6 linked regions of the Danio rerio genome follow. The protein of the gene in region 1 purifies or fractionates together with the protein of each later gene. This does not show direct contact. Links are inferred from orthologs where the notes say so. Each region holds a gene or a part of one and is shown in the gene's direction. Other genes may lie near its edges. The genes, in order: kpnb1, rcc1, larp7, rangap1b, nusap1 and nup50.

Evidence for each region.
Region 2: the proteins of kpnb1 (region 1) and rcc1 purify together in Homo sapiens (affinity purification with mass spectrometry; 3 studies listed by BioGRID and IntAct, counting the BioPlex papers as one, with this or other methods). This does not show direct contact. The link is inferred for Danio rerio from reciprocal best matches to the Homo sapiens genes KPNB1 and RCC1.
Region 3: the proteins of kpnb1 (region 1) and larp7 purify together in Homo sapiens (affinity purification with mass spectrometry; 3 studies listed by BioGRID and IntAct, with this or other methods). This does not show direct contact. The link is inferred for Danio rerio from reciprocal best matches to the Homo sapiens genes KPNB1 and LARP7.
Region 4: the proteins of kpnb1 (region 1) and rangap1b purify together in Homo sapiens (affinity purification with mass spectrometry; 3 studies listed by BioGRID and IntAct, with this or other methods). This does not show direct contact. The link is inferred for Danio rerio from reciprocal best matches to the Homo sapiens genes KPNB1 and RANGAP1.
Region 5: the proteins of kpnb1 (region 1) and nusap1 purify together in Homo sapiens (affinity purification with mass spectrometry; 3 studies listed by BioGRID and IntAct, counting the BioPlex papers as one, with this or other methods). This does not show direct contact. The link is inferred for Danio rerio from reciprocal best matches to the Homo sapiens genes KPNB1 and NUSAP1.
Region 6: the proteins of kpnb1 (region 1) and nup50 purify together in Homo sapiens (affinity purification with mass spectrometry; 4 studies listed by BioGRID and IntAct, counting the BioPlex papers as one, with this or other methods). This does not show direct contact. The link is inferred for Danio rerio from reciprocal best matches to the Homo sapiens genes KPNB1 and NUP50.

Annotation. Positions count from the first base shown.
Region 1 is NC_133194.1:51,598,584-51,602,517, forward strand, and holds the start of kpnb1 (importin subunit beta-1), read left to right. Parts: upstream 1-1,134; 5' UTR 1,135-1,286; coding exon 1,287-1,326; intron 1,327-1,954; coding exon 1,955-2,013; intron 2,014-2,229; coding exon 2,230-2,412; intron 2,413-3,934.
Region 2 is NC_133191.1:37,422,222-37,426,390, reverse strand, and holds the start of rcc1 (regulator of chromosome condensation), read left to right. Parts: upstream 1-1,369; 5' UTR 1,370-1,456; intron 1,457-2,266; 5' UTR 2,267-2,297; coding exon 2,298-2,370; intron 2,371-3,759; coding exon 3,760-3,947; intron 3,948-4,057; coding exon 4,058-4,169. UniProt on the Homo sapiens protein: Guanine-nucleotide releasing factor that promotes the exchange of Ran-bound GDP by GTP, and thereby plays an important role in RAN-mediated functions in nuclear import and mitosis.
Region 3 is NC_133182.1:62,353,776-62,357,275, reverse strand, and holds part of larp7 (la-related protein 7), read left to right. Parts: intron 1-1,307; coding exon 1,308-1,455; intron 1,456-3,500. UniProt on the Homo sapiens protein: RNA-binding protein that specifically binds distinct small nuclear RNA (snRNAs) and regulates their processing and function.
Region 4 is NC_133187.1:20,673,220-20,677,366, reverse strand, and holds the start of rangap1b (ran GTPase-activating protein 1b), read left to right. Parts: upstream 1-1,347; 5' UTR 1,348-1,406; exon of another isoform or gene 1,407-1,459; intron 1,460-1,922; 5' UTR 1,923-1,942; coding exon 1,943-2,054; intron 2,055-2,153; coding exon 2,154-2,281; intron 2,282-2,835; coding exon 2,836-2,895; intron 2,896-3,529; coding exon 3,530-3,709; intron 3,710-3,903; coding exon 3,904-4,038; intron 4,039-4,147. Other genes in the region: plbd1b (phospholipase B-like 1), read right to left, coding at 1-82, 601-670. UniProt on the Homo sapiens protein: GTPase activator for RAN. Converts cytoplasmic GTP-bound RAN to GDP-bound RAN, which is essential for RAN-mediated nuclear import and export. Mediates dissociation of cargo from nuclear export complexes containing XPO1, RAN and RANBP2 after nuclear export.
Region 5 is NC_133188.1:36,694,674-36,698,799, reverse strand, and holds the start of nusap1 (nucleolar and spindle-associated protein 1), read left to right. Parts: upstream 1-1,326; 5' UTR 1,327-1,446; coding exon 1,447-1,521; intron 1,522-1,740; coding exon 1,741-1,800; intron 1,801-1,883; coding exon 1,884-2,024; intron 2,025-2,115; coding exon 2,116-2,299; intron 2,300-2,425; coding exon 2,426-2,503; intron 2,504-2,658; coding exon 2,659-2,771; intron 2,772-3,858; coding exon 3,859-3,906; intron 3,907-4,126. Other genes in the region: oip5 (protein Mis18-beta), read right to left, coding at 848-1,079. UniProt on the Homo sapiens protein: Microtubule-associated protein with the capacity to bundle and stabilize microtubules. May associate with chromosomes and promote the organization of mitotic spindle microtubules around them.
Region 6 is NC_133179.1:71,993,290-71,996,789, forward strand, and holds part of nup50 (nuclear pore complex protein Nup50), read left to right. Parts: intron 1-1,677; 5' UTR 1,678-1,721; coding exon 1,722-1,790; intron 1,791-3,261; coding exon 3,262-3,342; intron 3,343-3,428; coding exon 3,429-3,500. UniProt on the Homo sapiens protein: Component of the nuclear pore complex that has a direct role in nuclear protein import. Actively displaces NLSs from importin-alpha, and facilitates disassembly of the importin-alpha:beta-cargo complex and importin recycling.

The DNA of each region.
Region 1 (3,934 bases):
CGGGGCAGACACACACACACACACACACACACACACACACACACTCACACACACTTCTCTATTCCATCACCCAGCTTGAGGACTGATTGGTTTGGGCTTGAGACGGCCGCTGCCCCGCGCCGCACACATCAGCCGTGTTCAGTCGTCCTCATGTCTCTGTCTGCCAGATTCTCTCAGTATCGGTTGTGTTTAGCGCTGCATTTGACCAATTCCTGATCACATTTATAAATTGATGGCCGCTGCATTGATCGCCGGCGGTGCACAGGCGGCCGCTGGGATATGTGTGCTGATTGGCTGTTGGAGAGCGGGGGGGCGGGTCTGCAGGACGGGGCGGGTTAGCGAGGGTTGCGTAATGTTACAATTCTGTTGTGTATATTAAATCCCAGTTGTTCACGATGACTGCAATATGAATTATGTTAAATAAAATATTGACTTGAATGCCTACAGTGATGGAGGAGTGTCAACTACAGCCTCACACACACACACAAACTGTCTCATACACACACACAAACACAACCTCACACACGCTTTCTCACAGACACACACACACCATCTCACACACTGCCTCTTCTACAGCAATAATAAACTGAGCACACTGAGCAGGAGCGCTGTTGTGTGTGTGTGTGTGTGTGTGTGTGTGTGTGTGCTTCTGCACAGGAAGCTGCTCTAGAACTCTCCTCCGCTCGTGTGTGATCAGTGTTCCTCAGGCTGAAGGGCTCATGATCACGGCTGCAGTACACTATGCTGAAGTACACTGAAGACCTGCTTCCTGTTCCCTGTGTGTGTAGTGTTCTGCAGAGGGATTGGGACAGCTATAACGAGCCCTCAGTGTGTGTCATAATAGTGCACATCTGCAGTTCACTTCATCAAAGTGCTGAGTAATGATGACTTTGCGCCTGAAGGTGCTGTTCCTCTAGTAATCAGTGTGCCGTGGGAATCACACCACACGCTACCCCTGATAACAGTGCGCTCCGTGTCTTCATCATCTGCTCTTTCTGACCCACACTCGGTCTGACGGGCTCTTGTAATGAACGCAGTTCTCCACACTATCGAGACGCTCCCTCAGTAGGCAGCAGAGCGTCATGATGCTGCGCGTGGGCGGGACCTGTGACGTCAGCGCGTGATATCGTTCCGCGGGCGGGAGTTCCGCGCGGCCTTTTCCTCGCGACAGCGGCTGATGAGCAGAAGCGGTAACCGCGAGAACGGCTCGGCGCTTCAGCATTAGGCGTGGACCGACCGACTTTACCGACCGACTGCACTCGTTCTGCCCCCGCGGACCCGACAGGATGGAGCTGATCACGATCCTCGAGAAGACCGTGTCTCCAGGTAAGCAATCCTCACACGCGCCTCTCCCGCGCACGGATGCCGTTTCTCCCGCGTGATGACCGGGGCTGAGCCGCTTCCCCGGGTGTGAGCGACGGTTAGCGGGCGGCTAACGCAGCGCAGGCCCGGTCGCTGAACCGCGAACGCGACGCGTTAATCTCCACCCGTCGAGTGGCGAACAGCAGCCGGACCCTCGGCTCGCCAGAGCAGGAGCGGGTTACCGGCCTGCTCGGTGTGTCCGGTCTCTGCGCGGTAACGAGTGTTAATGATCAGAGTTCACACACCGACACACGGCTCTACTTCATGGTCGCGCACATGTCGCGCCGCCGTGGGGTTTGTCCCGCCCGCGCTTCTGTTGGTAAAGTTGTTAGCAGTTAGCATGCTAGTCAGGAAGTGGCTAGGTGTTAGCATGGCTAGCACTCAGTCATCCTGTGCCGCTGCCTCTGAAAGTTCGCGCGTGTACGGCCGTGTCTAGTTTACACCGACTCTCCTCCCGCTCGGAGCCCGGTAAAGCGCTGTGGCCGAGCGCGATGCGGAGTTTCCCGGTTCTGACGCGCAGCTCCGCGTTTGGCGGGAGAGTTTCACAAGCGATCGATCAGGGAATTGACTGATGATTGTGATTGATTTTCAGATCGGAATGAGCTGGAGGCGGCACAGAAGTTTCTGGAGCAGGCGGCCATCGAGAACCTGGTGATGAAGCACACACACACACACACACACACACATCAACTGTCTCACAGACACACACACACTGTACTACTGTGTTGAATTGATAGTGTGTAAATTGTTTCTGGACCAGGACTCTGTTGTGTGTGTGGATCTCAGTACTGTGCTGAGATCAGCTCCAGCAGACCACTGGTTCTCCTACAGGTGTGTGTGTGTGTAACTCTGTGTTCTGCTTCTCAGCCGACCTTCCTGGTGGAGTTGTCCAAGGTGTTGGCGAACCCGGGGAACACACAGGTGGCTCGCGTCGCCGCCGGCCTGCAGGTCAAGAACTCTTTGACCTCTAAAGACCCGGAAGTGAAGAGTCAGTACCAGCAGAGATGGCTGGCTATCGACACCAGCGCACGCAGGGAGATCAAGAACTACGTAAGGATGCTGTGTGTGTGTGTGTGTGTGTAAGAGAGAGAGAGAGAGATCTTCAGGATGCAGGAAGGTAAAGTGTGTGTTCACAGAGATCAGACACACACTCCTAAATGATGGCGGTATTTGCTCAAACGGGCTGGACCAGCTGTAGAATGTGGATCTGCAGGAGTTTAGTACTTTCACTTACAGTAGTGCAGCGCTCAGCTTCCCCTGATCACTGACGGAGCATGCTGGAGTGTGTGTGTGTGTGATGTTGATGTGAGCGTCAGCATGGGGAACTTGAGTATTCATCTTGAAGTCCTCATGGCGGTCACTCTGCTGTTCTGAGATCAGCCTTTACAGCAGCAGGAGTTCAGTGATGATCAGCTGTGGTGAAAAACTTCGCTCAGTTTCTCCTGAACATCACTGCAGATGATTATAGTTTAATATTCAGGAAACCGCAGCACCTGAACACTACACCTGCAGACAGCCGTGTTCATGATGGAGGCATCGTGTGTGTGTGTGTGTGTGTGTGTGCGCGTGTGTGTGTGCACCGCCACTGCTGTTCTTCTGCTGTGCAGACAGGCCTGTGGAGGTTTAATGGAGCTCTGTGGTAGAGCGGGTAAATTGAGCTCTGGGCTCAGCTGTGCTGTTTAAGGCCCGACTGAAACACCTGCATTATTAAAGGGCCATGAGACCCCCTCGTTTCAGCAGGGTGTTTTCACACCTCTACTCTGGAAAAAGTCAGAAAAGTGGGCGTGTCCAGCTCTGTTTAGGGGGGAGTGTCGGAGGAACTAAAGTGGGAGGGTGTGGGAGTGTCTATTTGGGCACGCGCGAGTTTCAGAGTCAAAACACACACAGTAGAAAGTGATGGTGTTTAACCTACATGCACATCTGTAGTCGAATTATTTGCCAAATGATTAAATGCTGGACTTTAACTGCAGTTTGGCTCTTTCATTCAGGGAATTCATTCATGTCCCTCGCGACAAACGAGATATGTGATTCGAGGAACTGCTCTAAGCGTGTATTTTTCATGTAATGTTTGATCCCGCACGGCGAATGAGAGAAAAAAAACTCAGCATTTCCCGGAAACTTAAATGCACTCGGCAGGTAGTGTCAGAAAGCCGCGTGTGTTATTCCGGTCACTAAATGCGGTCACAAAATCCAACACGAGGGTAAAGTTTGGTTGTGGTGCTAACGTGTTTACACTCGGTGCAATAGTTTGTTAGATATAAACAAAGAGCGCTGGTCGCTCACTTACCAAACCTGTAGAGACAGGACAATCACCAGCAACTAGAGCCGCGTCTTTATTTAGAGGAGACTACAATCCGGATCTCAGCGTTTGCAGATGAGAACAGCTCTCAGGTAAACAATAATCCTCCTTAGACACGTAAGTTATTGTTGTCGAGCGTCGCGTACACTGTTAATCCACACGTGAGTCCAGCTGCGCTCTCACAGAGAGAAAATGAAAACAAAACTTCACTGCAGCAAACTATTAAAGCAACACTTCACGCTTGTTTTGCCAACACAACGTGGCGTCTCTGTC
Region 2 (4,169 bases), on another chromosome or scaffold:
TGACTGGAAACCAGCCTGGAAGTGGCCAAAACCCCTCTAAAACCAGCCTGGTCGACCAGCTAAAACCAGCTAGATTTTTCAGCAGGGTATAGAGGCTGTTATAGTTTCCATTATAATTATTTATCATTATAACCAATAAAACTGCTACAAATTTATGGGTTTCTATGTTTTTTTTATTTATTTATAATTTTTTTTTATTATTAAAGGATGTTAAAGCTCTTTGTAAAAGAGCAGTTTACACCATCCCAGCTGGGAATTAAAGGTCTAAATACTTTTTAACCACATTTGTTCTGCATTTCATGTGTCTGCAACTTCCAAGAAAGAAAAAAAAAAGATGATTAGCAACAAATGTACAAGGATGAGGTTTCACAGTTTCGTTTTAAGGAAATGTCAGAAATGGGTAATAATCCTCATTTCAATCATGACAGAATCTACTTATTTTTCATTTGTGTCTTGTACACTTAAAAAAATACTTTTGCTGTTTGTTCTAACCACAAAAATGAGTTGAAACAAGACACAATAAGGTACAACTTAACTGTTTTAAGTTCAAACTACTTGTATAAAAAAAAGATTAAGCGAACCTAATAAATTTGTGTTGGGACAACATGGAGTGGTGGAACCCAGCATTTATTACAGTGTATAAAATATAGAAAAAAGGCAGCCATCAAATAAAACTAAATTATTTTTGTATAGATAACATCACGCGTAATTTAAAAAAAAAGGTTTTTCTTTGATTCAGCTTTTTCTTTTATTTATTTATTTATTCATTTATTTATTTATTTATTTTTTAAGTTTTTGTCTGAGATTGCCAGGTATGTATCTGAGGAGGGGTTTTTTTTCGTGACAACAAGCTTCTATAGTGCAACAGAATTACATAAACAGGACAAAAAAACTGATAAAAATCTAGTTTAAAAATAGAGGTAGTTAATGCAAATGTACAAAGTGACACGTGTTTGTATTATATGTGCAAACTGGCGTGTAAAGTACGTTGTTAAATAAGTTTGTGTGTAAAAAGAAGTGAAGTTTCTTTCACAATTACTGTCATAAGGTGTTGATGGGATGGATTGCCAGAGGGAACTGTTTCTGTGTCGGGCTGTTAAGAAAAACTAATAGTTGAAGAACATCATTAAAAACTTTTAAACGGATAAAACAACGTTTAACTATAAACACGTGCATTAAATTTGGTATTCTAACGTAAAATGACGATTAGCATGATAAAGCTAATTCTTATTTTACAGACGTTTCTACCCGCCTTCCCAATAGTTGGCGCTTCTGAGTCTGTTTATTAGCGCGAATCCACCGGGTCACACGAAGTAGTGCAAGAGTGAGACACGCGTGCGTTACATTCACTCAATGAGTTATTGATGTTCACAAACCTCCTCGAGCGAACACAAACTTTGAACCTGGGAGATTTTCATACACAAGTGTAGCTCATCATCTCAGCTGCCTGTTGACGGTAAGATTAAAAATATTAGTCTTCAGAAAGCATGAGAAATGTAGTGTATGTAGAGCTTGTGAAATGTGTTGCGGAACAAGCCTGAGCCTGTTTGACCCATTCATTGCTATTAACCTCATTTAAAGTGTCTCAACATGATTTTTGTGATGACTTTTCATCAAACTAACTTAAAGGTCACGAGAATAAAACATGGCTTCAAAATGCTATTAGAGACTGCGTTTGTTTTAAATTTTAGCGGGATGTTCCTTTAAGACGTTGAACTTGAACTCAGATCTTATTCCGCCATGTTTAAATTAGTTTCCTGCATTAAAGCTAAAACAATAACAGCCTCGTCTGTTTTCCCCCTCTAATGCCGTGTTAGCCGATTAACCGCCATCAAACATTTGCTGCTGTCAGTCACAAACCGTGAAGTCACAGCCAGAAAAAGAGGCTGTGTGTCAAAAACTCGTCAGTTGCCTGCAATGACCACATTTATAACTGTTATGATGCCAAAAAAAGATGTGTGCCTGTATAAGACCATACACGTTCACGTGCATTAATGCTATACATAGTCAATATACAGCAAAGTGGCTCTAAATGTAATGTAATGATTTATATGTTGTTTACTTAATATGAGATCTATTTTAAAATTATATTAAACAACAAAAACAAAATAAATTGAATTTACTTTTAAGACCTATTCTAGTCTATCATGTTTTTTTTTTTGTAGGCCTGAAGTTCAGTCTTGATTGCTAGATTGGTTAAATAACTTGTCTAAGAAACTATTTTTTTTTCTCTGATGCTTGTTTGTTAACCTGTCTTTATTCATAGTTTCAGGTTTTGTCAAGCATCTGGGCTTACCATGTCTGCAAAAAAAGCTGTGAAGAGACAAACAGCGGCACCAAGCGATTCAACAGTTGCGAAAAAGCTAAAAGGTCATTATTTCATAAAGACTTTTTAATGTTTCTTTAAAGCATAAGAATATTCATATAGCTATTAGGTGTAAATTTGTTGTCAGAAGGAAACAAACTATGATATGTACCTCAAATTTGAAGTTACTGTTGTGTACTCTGTTTTGTGAATATCAATATAGAGGCCTAGATATACACTCACCAGCCACTTTATTAGGTCCAACTGCTCATGAACGCAAATGTCTAATCAGCCAATCACATGGCAGCAACTCTATGCATGCCATGGCGATCTGCTGCAGTTCAAATAGAGCATCAGAATGAAGATGAAAGATGATTTGAGTGACTTTGAGCATGGCATGGTTGTTGGTGCCAGACAGGCTGGTCTGAGGCAAATGGGCAACAGCAGCAGAAGACCACACCGGGTGCCACACCTCTCAGCTAAGAACAGGAAACTGAGGCTACAGTTCACATAGGCTCACCAAAATAAACAATAGAAGATTGGAAAAATGTTTCCTGGTCTGACATTCTTATGCTAGGGTCAAAACTTGCCATCAACAACATGAAAGCATGGATCCATCCTGCCTTGTATCAATGGTTCAGGCTGATGGTGTAATTGTGTGGGGGATATTATCTTGGCACACTTTGGGCCCATTAGTATCTATTGAGCATCAAGTCAAAGCCAAAGCCTATCTGAGCATCGTGTCTGACCATGTCCATCTCTTTATGACCACAGTGTACCCATCTTCTGTTGGCTACTTCCAGCATGATAACGCACTGTCATAAAGCAAATCATCTCAAACTGGTTTCTTGAACATGACCATCAGTTCACTGTTCTTAAATGGCCTCCGCAGTCACCAGTTCTCAATCCAATAGAGCAGGGGTCACCAATCTCGTTCCTGGAAGTCCGGTGCCCTGCAGAGTTTAGCTCCAACTTGCCTAAACACACCTGCTTGGGTGTTTCAAGTATACCCAAGACCTTGATTAGCTTGTTCGGGTGTGTTTGATTAGGGTTAGAGCTAAAATCTGCAGGACACCGAACCTCCAGGTACAAGTTTGGTGATCCCTGCAATAGAGCGTCTTTGAGATGTGGTGAACGGGAGATTTGCATCATGGAAGTGTAGATGACAAATCTGCAGCAACTGTGATGCTATCATGTCAATATGGACCAAAATCTTTGAGGAATATTTCCAGTACCTTGTTGAATCTATGCTGCGAAGGATTAAGGCTGTTCTGAAGGCAAAAGGGTCGAACCCGGTACTAGTATGGTGTACCTATAAAAGTGGCCAGTGAATGTATATTGATTTGCTTAACAAATTCTAGTTATGGGTTTAGATTAATGGATTTATTTTATCTCTGGAGCCACTCATTTTGTGCCACATGCCTCTGAATGTTTCTATTTTTGTTGATTTGTAGTCTCTCATATCAGTCATGGCCAGGAGAAGGGCCTGGTGCTTGTTCTGGGTCAGGGTGATGTTGGTCAGCTTGGCCTGGGAGAGGATGTGATGGAGAGGAAGAAACCAGCTCTAGTGACTCTTCCTGAGGGTATTGTGCAGGCAGTAGCTGGAGGAATGCACACAGTCTGCCTCAGTGACACGGGAAACGTAAGCTCTACACAAATAACATTAATCATAACAGGCTTGAATAGTCATGTTAGTGGGGATTTGAGGTCAGGACTAAAGTTTTTTTTGTTGTTTTTAATGTCGACTTGTAGGTTTATACATTTGGCTGTAATGATGAGGGTGCGCTGGGCCGGGACACATCTGAGGAGGGTTCAGAGACGGTGCCAGCAAAGGTGGATCTTGGAGAGAAGATCATTCAGGTCT
Region 3 (3,500 bases), on another chromosome or scaffold:
AACCATCTGCTAAAATTGCAGCTTATTCTAAAGTTACTGCTTCATGTTCAGTATAAACAAATAAGCAGACAACCTCAACCAAACATTTCTTAAAATCTTCAAGCAAAATGTCCGATCAGGATTTTTGCAGCTTTTGATGCATAAGAAGTTAAAATGCACACCTATAAATCTAATACCCTTTTACTAAAAGGAAAGAGGTCTATAAACTACTGTTTATAGCAATGCGTGTATTACAAGAATTTATATTATTAAATATTCATGTTAAGAATAAAGTTTTATTTATCTAATAATCCCAGCCAGCTTTTAGTGAATTTGCAGTATTGTCAAACCGAACTTTCAGTTGTTATATGTAAAAAGGCCTAAACATATGCATGACCATTCAAGTATTTTGCTTGTTTCCAACTATTGACAGCAGATCACTCAATGGTGAGAGAGATAGGGGGATTTGCACTTTTGATGTCTTTACTGCTGTATTAATTTAACCGAAGAATTGTAATGCTATTACATTGCCTCTCATGATCTGTACTCTTGCTCATTCACTCTTGTCGCTGTGATTGATTTCTGAGTATTTTAACTCATTTTTGGGGATAACAGGGCTGGTATAAATTTACAGGAGACTCGTGGAGCTTCCGGGACAGGTCATATGGTTGGATGAGATGCTAGATAGGGGTGACTGGCTGCGCCACATCAGCTCAAAACAGTGGGGATGCTATGGCTGCACTTGCAATAAAGAGAGCTGAGCATTAGGCGCGCGAGTCTCACCAATAAACTGTAAACAAGTCGCACTGCATCTGTATATATTTTTAGCTGCTGTCACTGTGACGCGAACACATTGATCGCCCCTGCACATCATTTACCTGTGTTGTATCTGCTGTATTCTATACATAATATACGGGAGTGCACGTGCATCTTCGTTCCTGTCAGATCTGGCATGCACTCATTCTCACACAGCAGAGAGTGTGAACTCCACCATGCGCGATTCAGAGAGCAGAAATTTGTAATCATGCGACCATGTAGAGACAGAAATGTCATGCCGTTGTGTAAATAAGATACTACACATGGCTATTTAGCTTGTTAATTAAAAGAACTTGTGATCTGGTGCTATATATAAAATGCAATCAACTTGACTTCAAGGGGCCGGGGAAAGCCCTTGAGAGGGTGGGGCGCCCCCCCTAAAATTATGGTAGGGGAAACACTGCACTACTTTCAAAAATAACTTTCCCTAACACTCCTAGTATGACATTTAGAAAAAAAAAACAACAAAACACTGAGGTTATGTACTTATGTTTATTCATGTTCCTTCATAGATCTATCATCTGAGAACAAGAATGAAGAGTTGAACAGCTTGAAGAAGAAAGATGATTCTGTTTTGAAGGCCAAGAGGAAGAGAAAGAAGAAGCTCAAAGAGAGATTGAAAGTAGGGGAGGAAGTCATCCCTCTCAGAGTCCTCTCAAAGTAAGAAAAGCTGTGTTTATTGTTTTAGAATTGAGATTCATTAAAAATTGTCTCTGTGAAATGTTTGCATAATGAGTTTGAGTATATGCATTTAGATAAACTAGTGTAATTTTGAACTGAACCAATTTGTAAACTGGTTTATTTTGAAAAATATCTAGCCCAAATTATGTTACATTTCAGATGTTTGGCATAAGCTGGTAAACCCCTTCCAATTCCCATTTGTCTGTGCCGATTATATTATGCATTAGGTAGTTGTGCACTTAGACTTTGTAATTTTTGAGGAAAACTAATCTGGTTTCTTTCCTCTCTTTAGTCCATCAAGGTTGCAGCTCTTTATAGCAATATCGAAAAAAAAAAGTTTAATACTATATAGCTGTGAATTGTAAAGCAATGCATAAAGTGCTATAGTAAAAGTTTATTTCTTATTCAGATGACAATGTGCAGCAAATGTTTGCATGCCCTTTCAAAAAATCCCTGTTGTTCTATCTAATAGGTAAACAGAAATGTGAAGTAAAAGTCATGACATGACCAAGAATGGTGATCAATCGGAATTTGTGTTATGCATTTAACCCATCCAAGTGCGCACACACAGCAATGAACATGCACACTGTGAACACACACCCGGTGCAGTGGTGCTGCGGCACCAGGGGACCAGTTGAGGGATCGTGCATTGCTCAAGAGACTCAGCTCAGCTCTGGTATTGAGGGTGGTGAAGGGCGCTGGTTATTCACAACTATTCACAGCTGGTTATTCCGGTGGTGGGTGTGGGAGTGAACCTTTTGTGGGTGAGAGAGGTTTCTAAAGACCCAAGAACAACTGTCAAGAATGACCATTACATTTTATATATATATATATATATATATATATATATATATATATATATATATATATATATATATATTAGGGTTGTGACGATGAGGAAATTTCCCTACTGGTTAATCGACATGTGACAACACCGGTAATACCGGTATCACTGTGGGGTATGGGTTTCCTCTTTTCTTTCTACTTTTAAATAGCTTATAAATGCGTGCGTATAATACTTTCAGTTTTGGACGAATGTGATGAATGTTAGAATGTTTTTAAAACTAACAAGATAATAAAATAGAAAGATAAATAATTAAATTGCACAAAGTTAAAATAAGATTAAACGAATGAACAAGAAACAAATATTTAAGAAAAACTTTCAAAATTACATTACAAAAATGACAGCTCGACACAGTCTTTTAATGAAAAGAAATAAATAAAACACTGTAAATTGGCATTTATTAACAGTGATTTTTACATGTTCTTTGCCAGGAATCCTGGCCAATATGTTTACCATCTGTGGCTTAAGATGGGGTCTTGTGGGACTCACTATGTTCCCCATCGTGCTGAACACACTCTCAGATGCGCAGCTTGTTGCGCACACGCAAAGATACTTTTTGGTTAAATTTGCCAACAGGGGGAACATGTTTGGTTGTATTTTGTTGTCCTACCTGACTTCAATTTCTTAATGTATTAATTAGCCTAATGCATTATATATTAATAGCTTAGTCCTTATGAACAATCCATTTATAAAAATTCATTATTAACAAATATATATACTGTTGAAGAATAAACCGAATATGAAATATGATCCTTGCATAATGATCACAACTAAACAAGCTAGCACTCATTTTATATATAAACTATAAATAAAAAAAGAAAGAAATGTTAAGAAATTAAACATTGTGTAAAAAATCTAAAGACTACAGGCTAAATAAAATCGCCTCGTCCGAGCTAAACATCACAGCACGCGTGTCAGTTTACAGCTTCTGTAAAGATCAGACAGCCTATACAATCGCACATCTCAAAAATCTCAATAAACAACATGTAAACGTATAAATATTTTGATAAGTATTGTTATGGAATATTTATAACTATATGATCTTGCTTTTTTGAAATATCGATACCAGCTTTGAGCTCTCTTACACAAGCGGCAGTTGAAAGGTGCTGCATAAGGTGTCTTATGTCACTGTCAGTGGTGGATTACACACAGCATACCCTGGCAAGATGTTTTATTTGTT
Region 4 (4,147 bases), on another chromosome or scaffold:
TCTCCATTCTCTTCCATCACATCCTCTTTCAGGACCACAGACCTCTGAACAGCATCCCAGTACACAGTGGCTCTCTGAACATCTTAAACAATTTAAAAAGACCACATATATCAATAAACATTATAGGTTGACTTGTTTTATATTGTCTTGGTTTGATAAACAAATGCCAAGTATGATAACAAGTTTGTTGTAGTTCTAGCCAAGCGTTTTCAACTTGGTTAAACGGATATTTTACGCAAAAAAGAGAGAAAATTGACTCGCTATATACAGTAGCCTACTCAACCTCGAGTGGTTCCAAGCCCTATGAGTTCAAGATATTTAAGAAGAAAATCGTTTAAAGAAAGTTGAAACCCTGTATCCATATATCCATAGTAGGAAATGAGTCGGTTACTGGTTTTCAGCTTTTTTTCAAATGTGTTTTGCAGAAAAAAGGTAGTTCAAACTGGTTTGGAACAGGTAGAGGATGAGTTAATAATGACAGTTGTATCTGAACAATCAATTTAAGGAATACTAGCCTTCTAATGTTATGTAAACATACAAAAGGACATGTTACCACTAAAACGTGACTTTAAGTGAGTGGAATTAATTTAAAATACTCACGCTGAGCCATTACGAATGTCGCCGCGAGGACGCACAATATAAATACCCTTGTGACGTTAAATCGATACATGTTTCACGCTGAATTAGACTAAGCTTAAGTTTACTTTCTGGATCTGGTTAATCATGGTATGTAATCTGTAATCAAACACTGGGCAAATATAACATCCCAGAATATAATGCTAGACTAAAGTACGAAAAACCAAGATTTGGTTATTCAATTTAGAACTTAAAGACGTTGTATGTCCACATTAACTGGTTTTCTGTCGCAGATCGCCTTGTGTGTGATTAAAAGATTTCCACCCCAGATGGGACTCGAACCCACAATCCCTGGCTTAGGAGGCCAGTGCCTTATCCATTAGGCCACTGGGGCTTGCGTCATGGAGTGTGTAGAATGTGTATTACAAACGGTCTTATAAACGGAATGCAAGTCGTACATTTAATCTAACTTGTTTTACCAAATTTTAAATATAATTAGTAAATACAAATGATTTGTTATTCAGCTATATATTTACATGAATCAGCATTCTTATTTAAGTCACACATTTGTCTAATGTTAAATTTATTTCAACGTGCAACATTTTATTGATTTATTATAAAAATAAAAAAACAGTAATAAAAAACAGTATTTAAACAGTATTTAAATGAAAAATTTAAACCGAAAAATAATGACGTTTTCAGTAACGCTGTGCTATTATAACAATCAAAAATATTAATCGTGCTTTTATTATGAAAGATCATGACACCGGCACTTTCAAAGGACTGCCGCCTCCATGTGCCTCCTGTTTTGATGGTTTTATTCTGGTAACGTAAGTTAGTTATCTGCTATCTTCCTCCATTAAAATCCGCGCCGAGGTGTGAGGTAAATAGAAAACATTCACTTACTTTTTTAGATTTAACCAAAGTTCCTGCGCTAAATTAGCTAGTTTGAAGTCATGAATGAGATTAATGCTAGTAAGCTAACTCCTCTCTGAGTTAGCTTAAACCGTTTGTGTATCAGCCGTAGTACCAATGATGCAATGATATTATCATACTAGCTAGCTGTTTGAGGACTATATTGAGCTTAGTAATACTGTTTAAAGTTCATCAAGCACATTTCAAATATAACACGTAGCGTTATTTCTTTGGCTGTCATTTATATCCATGTTTAGAGATAACGTTAAGCTAGCAGTGGCTATATTAATATTACAGTCTTAATAACAATGAAGTAAGATTAAGGATGTACTTTTTATATATCCTAAATAAATTCATATGATTGTGAGGTATGTTTTAGGTTTAACGAGATACATTTTTGAAACACACTTATGTCTTACTAACTTTATTAGAAGAGAAAACGGGGAAAGCAATGGCCTTAGGGGATATTGCTCAGATTACAGAGGCTCTGGCCAAAACTCATGTTGGAGAAGTGGAGTTAAGTTATAAGGGACGAGGGCTGAAGCTGGACAATGCAGAATCAGGTGAGTAAAACGTTCTCTGTATTATCAAATTTGTTTATTTTTCATGTCTTAATCCATAAGCAACATCTCTTGGAATTCCCTCCTTTTCTTTTGTTACAGTGAAAGAGATTGTGGAGGACATTGAACGGTGTCAGGGTCTGCAGTCTCTCCGGTTAGAGGGAAACACATTGGGTGTTGAAGCAGCAGATGCCATTGCGAAGTCGCTTGAAGCTAAACGTGAACTGGAGGTAGTTTTAAATTACTAGTAGACATATGCAATAAACTGAGATAACGAGCATACACAATATTGATATCATGGGCTCTTCAAAATGTTAGTTAACGTCTTATAATGCATAAAAAATGTTGATTGGAGTTAATGGCTAATACTGGTCAGTTGAATTTTTGACATACTAACTTAAACATAGTTACTATAACTGCCCTTTTTCTCAGTGTTAATTTTAAATTTAATGCATTAATTAACAATTACTATTAGGACTTTATTGTAAAGTGTAAAGTGTTACCTAGTGTATTAGTGCAATTAAATTTGTTTGAAACATTTGTTTGCTCTCAGCAGATATGTACAATTAAGCAATACAATAATTGTTTGTTTTTCTACGTTACATGAACCTTTTTGCAACTTTGGTTAATATTGTGACAATTGTGGTATAATGTACAGTGATAAAACCTTCAGGATTTAATTGCAGCAAGAAAATCTGATACCATCCTAAACCTAAATACCACTGCACAGTTTTTACTTTCACTTTGCTGCTTTTATAACTTGTCTTTTTTTTTTCTCTCAAAGCAATGTCATTGGAGTGACATGTTTACAGGCCGCCTTCGCTCTGAAATTCCACCTGCTCTGGTAAGCTTTTGTATATCCAGTTAAAAACATTTATTTATTTCTTTTAGGGCTGCACAATGTGATGCACAATCACATTCAGGTATAAGAAATTGTACCTTTTTTTTTTACCATAACTGATTATATTAATGAATTATTTTTATCATTCAGTTACTGTACTTGAATATTGTTTGACTCAGGAAATAATAAAACACTTTATTTCAATTGTATTTTTCTTTCTTGATTGTATTTATGGATTGTTAAGCATAAAATACTCAAAACACATGCAAAAACAGAAATACACTGTAAATAGCACAGACCACAATGAAAATGTGTCGGGGTACCTGTAAAAATGTATAGATTGTTTATTAGATTTTATAGAGGTGCTTTTCCACTGCAGTATCATCCCAATCGATCTAACATTATAAATTCTTCCCAAATAAAGATATTATGAAGTTATCTGGTGAAATTGTATTCTTAGCGCAATGTATATCGCAAGATAAGAAAATATTGCAATGTTAGATTTTTCAAATATTGTGCAGCCGTAATTTCTATGCATTCTTCAAGTAAATTGTTTTCATTCAAAACAATTCATTCTTCATTTTTCATTCAAAAGTAAATTGCTGATATTCTAACCAACGGTTTTCTCCAATTTTAGAAATCACTGGGCAATGCTTTGATGACGTCAGGGGCTCGCTTGACTCAGCTGGACCTGAGCGACAATGCTTTCGGCCCTGATGGAGTGAAAGGAATCGAAAACCTCCTAAAGAGCTCTGCGTGCTACACTTTACAGGAGCTCAGGCTTAATAACTGTGGCATGGGCAGTGGAGGAGGGGTGGTAAGTTTAGTATTAAAAAAACTCTGGTCCAACCTAAGAAAACCCTGTTTATCTGCTTGTTATTAGGTCAGTGAAGTAGGCTTTTGCTCTCTGACATGATTATAAACGTGTTAATACTTTTTGAGGTTTACAGCACAGGTTTGTCTGTGTATTTTATTTATTTATTTATTTTTTTTATTTATTTATTTTTTTAGGTCCTTGCTTCTGCATTGACTGAATGCCATAAGCAGTCAAGTGCTGCTGCCTCCCCACTGAGGTTAAAAGTCTTCATAGCTGGACGTAATCGCCTGGAGAATGATGGTGCCACTGCACTTGCCAAAGCATTTAAGGTCTGAGGCATAACTTATTCATCTATATATATCATGATTAAGTATCTGGGTGCACATAGATGCATTAAATATGTAAATGAAGACTTTATATTTTTCAAGACCTTATTAG
Region 5 (4,126 bases), on another chromosome or scaffold:
TACTGTGCGTGCATAAATATACTTGCTGTTTTAAGTGCTGAGGTGCTTAATTTGATTTTCTTAGAAATATAAAGGTAAGTGCAAAGGTATCTTATACACACACTATACTTTATATAAGAGTCAAAAAATAAGCCTTTTTTCCACTGTAACTAATGATCAACAGAAAAATAAATATAATGTAACCTATTCCTAACAGGGGAAAAAAAAAAACAACAATCAAGAATACATAATATTATGGTATCATGGTTTTGCGATCAAAGCAAAAATGTTATAATGTAAGCCAATGGGCAAAAAGAGCCCTTAACATAACAAAAGGGTAATGCATTTGCCCAGAGTGTATTGTTGAGTTTGACACATTTTCCCCCCAAAAATTGTCAAAATAAGATGTCACCAAAAGTCATTTCATTTTCTAAAAACACAGGTGGTGGCCAAATTACACATCAAATGTCACATTTGAGTGGATGAAAACATCCCTAACAACAGCACACAAGAGATAAGTTGAAGTCAAAAGAAGATAATGTGAAGAAATATTTGTAACAATTGACTTCCATTGTAGGAATAAAATACTATGGAAGTCAATGGTTAACGTTACAGCTTTAAAATATCTTCTTTTGTGCTTAACAGAAGAAAGAAACTCATAAAGGTTTGAAACTAACAAAAGATGAGTAAATAAATGACGGAGTTTGCATTTTTGGGGTGACCTATCCCTTTAAACAAAAATGTCTCTGCAGTAACTTGGTCATAACAGGCAGCACATCGCCCCCCGCGTGTTTAGTGTATTTCACAAAACCTTTTAAGACGTAATGAGGTAAGTTTCGAGTTTAAAATGAGGTAAAATATAACTTACTCAAACAAATGACACTTTGGCTGCTCTCCACTTCCCCGCAGACGCCGAGAGAGTCTCCAAGCACAGTGTTGCATGTTATGCATTGGAAAACGATGCAATTCCTAAAGTCTACCATGCAGATTTCTTTATCCTTCACCGCTTGAAGCTGTTCTACAATTGAACTTGACTGTGTCGAGTCACATGGACCGATATCATAAGAGCTTTCGAGTAAACTCCGAGTGCTGTTCGCCATTATCGCATAGAGATTTGTTTCTACTGTGGATGTTGCTGTGGACAGCTCACACACAAGTTCAAAAGACGCTTCGTTTATTGTTTTGAACGTAAGGTGGCGCTCTAAACTGCTCAATCAAAACCCGCCTTAGCCGTTGACTTTAAGCCAATCAACGTCAACCAGATGATAAATCTATTTCTTATTGGATATAATACAACGACGTCATACACTCTTTAACCAATCATCTCCATGAAATCTGTTTTTGAAACACGGTATTTTTTCAAACGACAATCACAAACCCAAACTAACCGATCCGACATCAGAGAGCAGTCGATTACTGTATTATACTTGTGCCTCTTCAACTTACGTCGATTTTATAGGCAATAACATGGATTTAGACTCGCTAAAATATGCGGAATTGCAGCGCCTCGCCAAAGAAGTGGGACTTAAAGCGAATATGAAGGTAAGTTTTGTTGTATAAGATAAAGTGGTGCAGTTCGTTACTGTTTACATGCAACCAGACATGTGATGTAAATCCAGCATGGTTTTAAACCCACCACATTTAGTTTATAGACATTAAAGTATTATAGCATGTTGCTACATTTAAACTTAACGTTACCTTATCTTGTTCAGTAACTTTACGCATTGCTGTTTTAACTTATTCAGCACTTTGATTTGATAGGCTGAAAGGCTGTTGAAGGCTTTAAAAGAACACTTTTCACAACAGCAGCTTTCTGAGAACGTGAGTAATGTCTTTGGGATTTAACAACTATAAGAAATTTTAAATCTGACTATTAGCTTAAACGCCGTGGCCGTTGTTTGCAGGGCAATGACGCTGCCGCTTCGGACGCGCACGATTCTGTTCCTCCTGTGGACGCGCACGCTGCAACATATGTGACCGAGCGCAGAGGAAAGGGCCGCACCGCCAAGAGGAAGCTCAGTGAACCAACACCGATCATTTCTCCGGTACACAAATCACATTTACTGACTACTTTATCTTTCATTTGTATGTATTGGAGTGAAATATGTATTTTTGTTTTTAATGCATATTCTTTAGACTGAAGAAAAAACACCACAAGATGAGGGTCGAAGGGGCTCCAAGAGAAGAAAGGTGTCTTCAGCCAAGGATACACAGACTCCAGTTCCAGCTGAAGCTTTCGCTAAAGAGAATACTATGGAGAAAGAATCTGGAGATCTAAATCCAGATTCTGAAAGTGGTCCAACAGAAACGGGTGTGAAAGGTAATGATTGTTTTAATGAATTGTGCTCATTATTAGGAGTGATTTTTTTAACTCACTGAATCACTTGTGCTTGTACAGTGTATGTAGTGATGACTAGTAATATGAATTACAATATTGGTGATGCAGGGAGAAGAACAGTTGGTAAAATTCCCCGCCATAAAGGTCTGATGAAGAGAAAACCTGCAATGCGGCCGACAACTCCTAGTAATATAATATATTCAGTTTTATACAGGACAACAAAATATATATTTTACATTCTCTAATAATAAAAAAAAACAGTGTCTTTAATTGATCGTTTCATCTCTTATTAATTTTAAGCTCTTCTCTTTAATAATGCATTTTCAATTACTGTTCCCCAGACTTCAAGAAACTCCACGAGGCTCACTTCAAAAAGATGGAGTCCATCGATTCGTACGTCCAAAGAAAGAACAAACAAATGGAAGTGCTCAGGAATTCAGTTAAAGAGCTGAAGGTAACAGAGAAATAACATTAGAAACTTTAACCTAAATAAAAATTAGAAATGTTGTCTTGGAAATCAACTTTAACAATATTTTTAATTTTATTGTTGTCATCATTGTTAATATTAATATTATAATTAGTATTTTATATCACTTCAAAATATGTAAGTAAAAAAGGATACTACAAAACAAAATAAAAAGGTCAAAATACACTACAAAATAAAAAGGATAGTTCCTTGGTGATTCGTATAAATGGCAGTCAATGGTTCTTGTTATTTTAGAACAGTAGTTCCCAAACTTTTTGCTGTGTGCACCCCTTTTTAATATTTGAGACCTGTTAAGCACTCCTTTCTCCGATTAAACTCCATGTTTTTAACTACAATAACTAAATACTTATTTTTCTGTGTACGTTATTAAAATAAAATACGTAAATTTAAAGGATGAGCTTTTATGAATTTGACAATTTTCACAGCGTCATGCATAGGTTGTAAATAACAATTTGTTATGTGATTTTTTTTTTCGTTGTAATATTTGTAATATGACATGTGAAGTTTACCAAAGATAAATGCATAAAAATAATAAAAGATAAAAAAATTTCCATTACAAACATTCTCTAGCGCACCCCTGGTGGTCAGACTGCACACCCCTTGGTGCACGCACCTCAGTTTGGGGACCACTGCTTCAGATAAAAACAAATGCATACAAAAATATCCTGGTGGCACACTGATGTGTTGTAAAAAGAACCGATCAGTCTGTGTAGGAAATGTAACATTATTTAAAATACTATTAGCTTTAATTCACAGCCTGGGCAAACAATTCTTGGTCTATGCACGAGTGTGTTGAATGCAAGTATATTTTTAATTAAAAAAAAAACAGTAACCATTGACTGCCATTATATAAATCATTAAGGAGCTATCACTTTTAACATATATTTAGTAATATAAAAATAACTTAAATTAATATATATATATATTTTTTAAAAAGGTTGCACAAAATATTTCAAAGATCTATAATGTAGTTAAAACAGAAATAGATTGAACATTTTCTTCAGGTATCTGAAGTTTAGTTTACACTTACTATTATTTACTTTTATCATTTCAGACCCTGTCAGAAAAGACACTGAAGAAACCCGAGGCAAAGGCTCAAACTGTAAGTCACTATAGGTTCAGATATCAATTGATCAATCTTTTATGATTCTGTTTGAATTGCCATGTACCCTGATCAGTTCTTGTGAAATGTTGTGTTAAAAATGGCATAGTGTCATCTTTCTAAAACTGTGGGGAGGGTATCTTCAAATATGTTTGAAAAAAAAGTTATGTTTTTGAACGTTGAATTGTTTAAATTCAGCAAGGTTTTTCTTTCTGAAAGT
Region 6 (3,500 bases), on another chromosome or scaffold:
TCTCTATATTGTTTACCACGCTATTTTTAATATATTCAGTCAGAATTAGCATGCTAGTATGACTTCAAAACAACACCATCACTATCTAGTTGACTGTAAACATGGCTGTGCTTTGATAGTCATTGGCTGCTAATGATTTCCTAATTCAGAATTAGCAAAATATACTTTTCTAAAAGGATATCATTACTGTCTGAATATCCAAATATAAACTAACTTTACCTCAATTCTAAATTAGGAAATCAAATTAGCAGCCAATGACTATCAAATTATATTGTGTTGGTGTTGTTTTAAAGTCATACTCGCATGCTAATTCTGATTGAATATTCAAAATAGCGTGGTAAACCCTATATAGAGACAGTTAAATGAACGAAGGTGCGAATATAAAACCAAATTTACCTCAGTAACCAACCTGTAGACTTGAACTAACCGTTTATTTAGCCGGATAACTTATCACGTGACGAGTTGTTCACCCTGGAAAAAGTGTTTACTCAACATTTTTAAAGCCTACTGTTGCTTTTCTCAATTTGTTCATATTCCAAATGTGTTCGTTTGCTTTCATGTGAAATCGGAAGAGAAAGTTTCATTATGTTTCTTGTTGAAGGCTTAGCTCAATTACAATTTTTGACAACTTTAAACAACAGATACATGACAATATAGTGAACAAAGTAATGCCAAGGTGATAGAAAGAAAATAACAACAGCACAAAAAAGTAAATAAATAAAACAAGAGTGTTATTAATTAACAAAAAAAAAAAGTTTTTTATTTATTTGTACATTATTAGAATTACTGCAAATGTACCAGAATTAGCCAGAAGGCTATTTTTCCTCTGTTTTCCCTGAACAACCTAAAAAAACAATACAAAAATTATACAATCAATCAAACATAGTTATGTAGATGCTAATAAAAAAATTTAAATATACAAAATAAAATAAAAAACACCAACATTTTGTAGTTCTCATAATTACAAACAAGCAGGACCTTTACATTAATGAAAAGTTTTGAAACTAGAGCACGGTTGGACGATTTTAAAGCGTTTCTATTAGCACTATGCTGAATAGTGCAAAAGTAATTTTTCAGTTCCTTATAAAGCACAATTAATCCGGGTTTTTGTTGGAAAATTAACACTTTTGAATATGAAACTGAGTTAACAAAATAAATAGGTTAATAACACAAACTTCATTAGTCAAGTTATCGTAATTAAAATATCCAAAACTTACGTTTTCAAAATTAAAATTAAAGCGTACCTGATAAAAACCGAAGCATCATAGCAAAGCTTTTTAACATAACCACAGTGCCAAAACATGTGGGGTGCGTTTACATTTAGTCATTTAGCAGACGCTTTTATCCAAAGCGACTTACAAATGAGGACAAGGAAGCAATTTACACAACTAAGAGCAACAATGAATAAGTGCTGTAGGCAAGTTTCAGGTGTGTAAAGTCTAAGACGCAAAAACATTAGTAAATTTTTTTTATGTAATACAGTTAGCGGTGGAGCCAGAGAGGGAATTGCAGATTAGGAAGGAAAGTGGAGACTAAATAGTTGAGTTTTTAGTCGTGTCTTGAAGACGAACGAATGTACGAGTTTTAAACTTTACCTCAATCATTTTGGATGGAAATTTCTGACGTTTCTGAACTCTTCATATATTCGTTTTTAAGTGAACTATCCCTTTATATTAGTTGACTAAATGACTGTCATGATTGTGTTTAACAGTTGAGCTGTGATGGCCAAGCGGATTGCGGAAAAAGAGTTGACCGACAGGAACTGGGATCAGGAGGATGATGGAGAAGAGGTGCGCCACTTTCCAGCACTGCACTAGTTCATTGTCAAACATCATTACTTTCCAAGTGGAAACACTCTTAACCAAACTATGCGTCTAAAACAACACTTAAAGTTACAGTCCACCTAAACATAAACATTTACTCGCCGTTTGTTTGTTTCAACCTGTTTGAGTTTCTGTCCTCTGTTGAACACAAAACAAGATACTTTGAAGACGGCTGGAAAACAGCCATTGATGTCCGTCGTATTTGGTTTGGTTCATACTATGGATGTTTTTTCCTAACATTCGTCAGAACATAATAGCTGCGTCTCATTTCAGACGCTGCAGACTTCAAAGGCGAGTCCTTCGAAGTCCACGCAGGCCGAACCGAGCGCTTTGAAATGAGATGATCTAGCCTAAAGAGGACTCATCTAGCAAGCGTAAAAGCTGCAGTTACTAATAAAATTTGTTATGACTTTTTTTTTTTTTTTCAAAGTGATTTTAAAACTTATTCTAAAGGCAAAACAAGTTTATAAAAGCTGGGAATATGTTTCCTTTGATCCGTACATGTACACACAACGTTACTCGTTTGTAAGACATGTCGTACTCTTTTTGTTTTTTAACGTGTTTAGATAGATATCCATGTAAAATAAACCTAATTTAAACATTCGACCTCGTCGTCTGTCCACAAAAATACCTCTTGCTTTCTTTGCCATCGCGTTTAATGTTCAATCGGCGTTTGTTGACTAACAATAACCAAATGCCGAGCGAGACACATGCTTCCTGTTTATACTACAACGGGCATGACCAGAGTGCGCGAATGGTCACGTGATATACGTTTTTGGTGGCGTAGTGTGGACGGAGAAATGTTCAGAGATGCTAGTGTGGACGCGGATCGTTTTTGATCTAAAACGCCATTTTAAAACTAAAACGCACTAGTGTAAACGGGGCCTAAAACACCTTACCGTTTCAGTATTAGTGTTATATTATTAATGACATCCAGAATCAAGAACGTCTGTGCTCCACGTCTGACACCTTCAAACGCCACCTTCACTTCACTGCATGTCAGCATCGTCTTCTGAGGTCAGAAGTCATTTATTAAATGAAGAAAAGATTGACGCAGCCTCTCCAAACGCAGCAATTGACGTCTTTACTGTTGATATTTGGCGCCAGTTAATCAGAAAGTGACGATTTTGTTCGCTTTGACTCGTTGGATGGAAACGCTGCTTTATTCGCGCGTCTATAATCCAGTTTTGCGCATAAATTTAATTAGCATTTTCGGATCGAAACATAGCTAATGATGGACTAAAGTTTTGAGGCAGTGTGAAGAATTTTATTAATTAGATTTTGTGCAAAGATTTAAACATAATTAAACATATTAGCCTATTCTCTCAAGCGCTTTAAGTTTAAATATAATTTTTTGTGTAGATATTTGTGCTCCGTATTTACAAATCATGCTGTGCTTCTTGCCAATTTTAACCAGGGGTAATTATTGTCTCTTCAGGCAGGAACGTTTTCGATTGCGAGTGATGATGTGATGAAAAACCGCGCCATCAAGAAAGCCAAGCGGCGTAACGTTGCAGAGGTAAAACCCTTCCTGCATCCCAGCAGGCGCCCAGTTGTTTATTTAAAGCGATTATAGTTCACATCAATACTGCTGTTTTGTCGCAGGGAGAGAGTGGAGGGGCTTTCAAAGCGTTTAAGGGGTTTTCTCTGGCTCCAGCCACAGCGACGGCTTCGTTC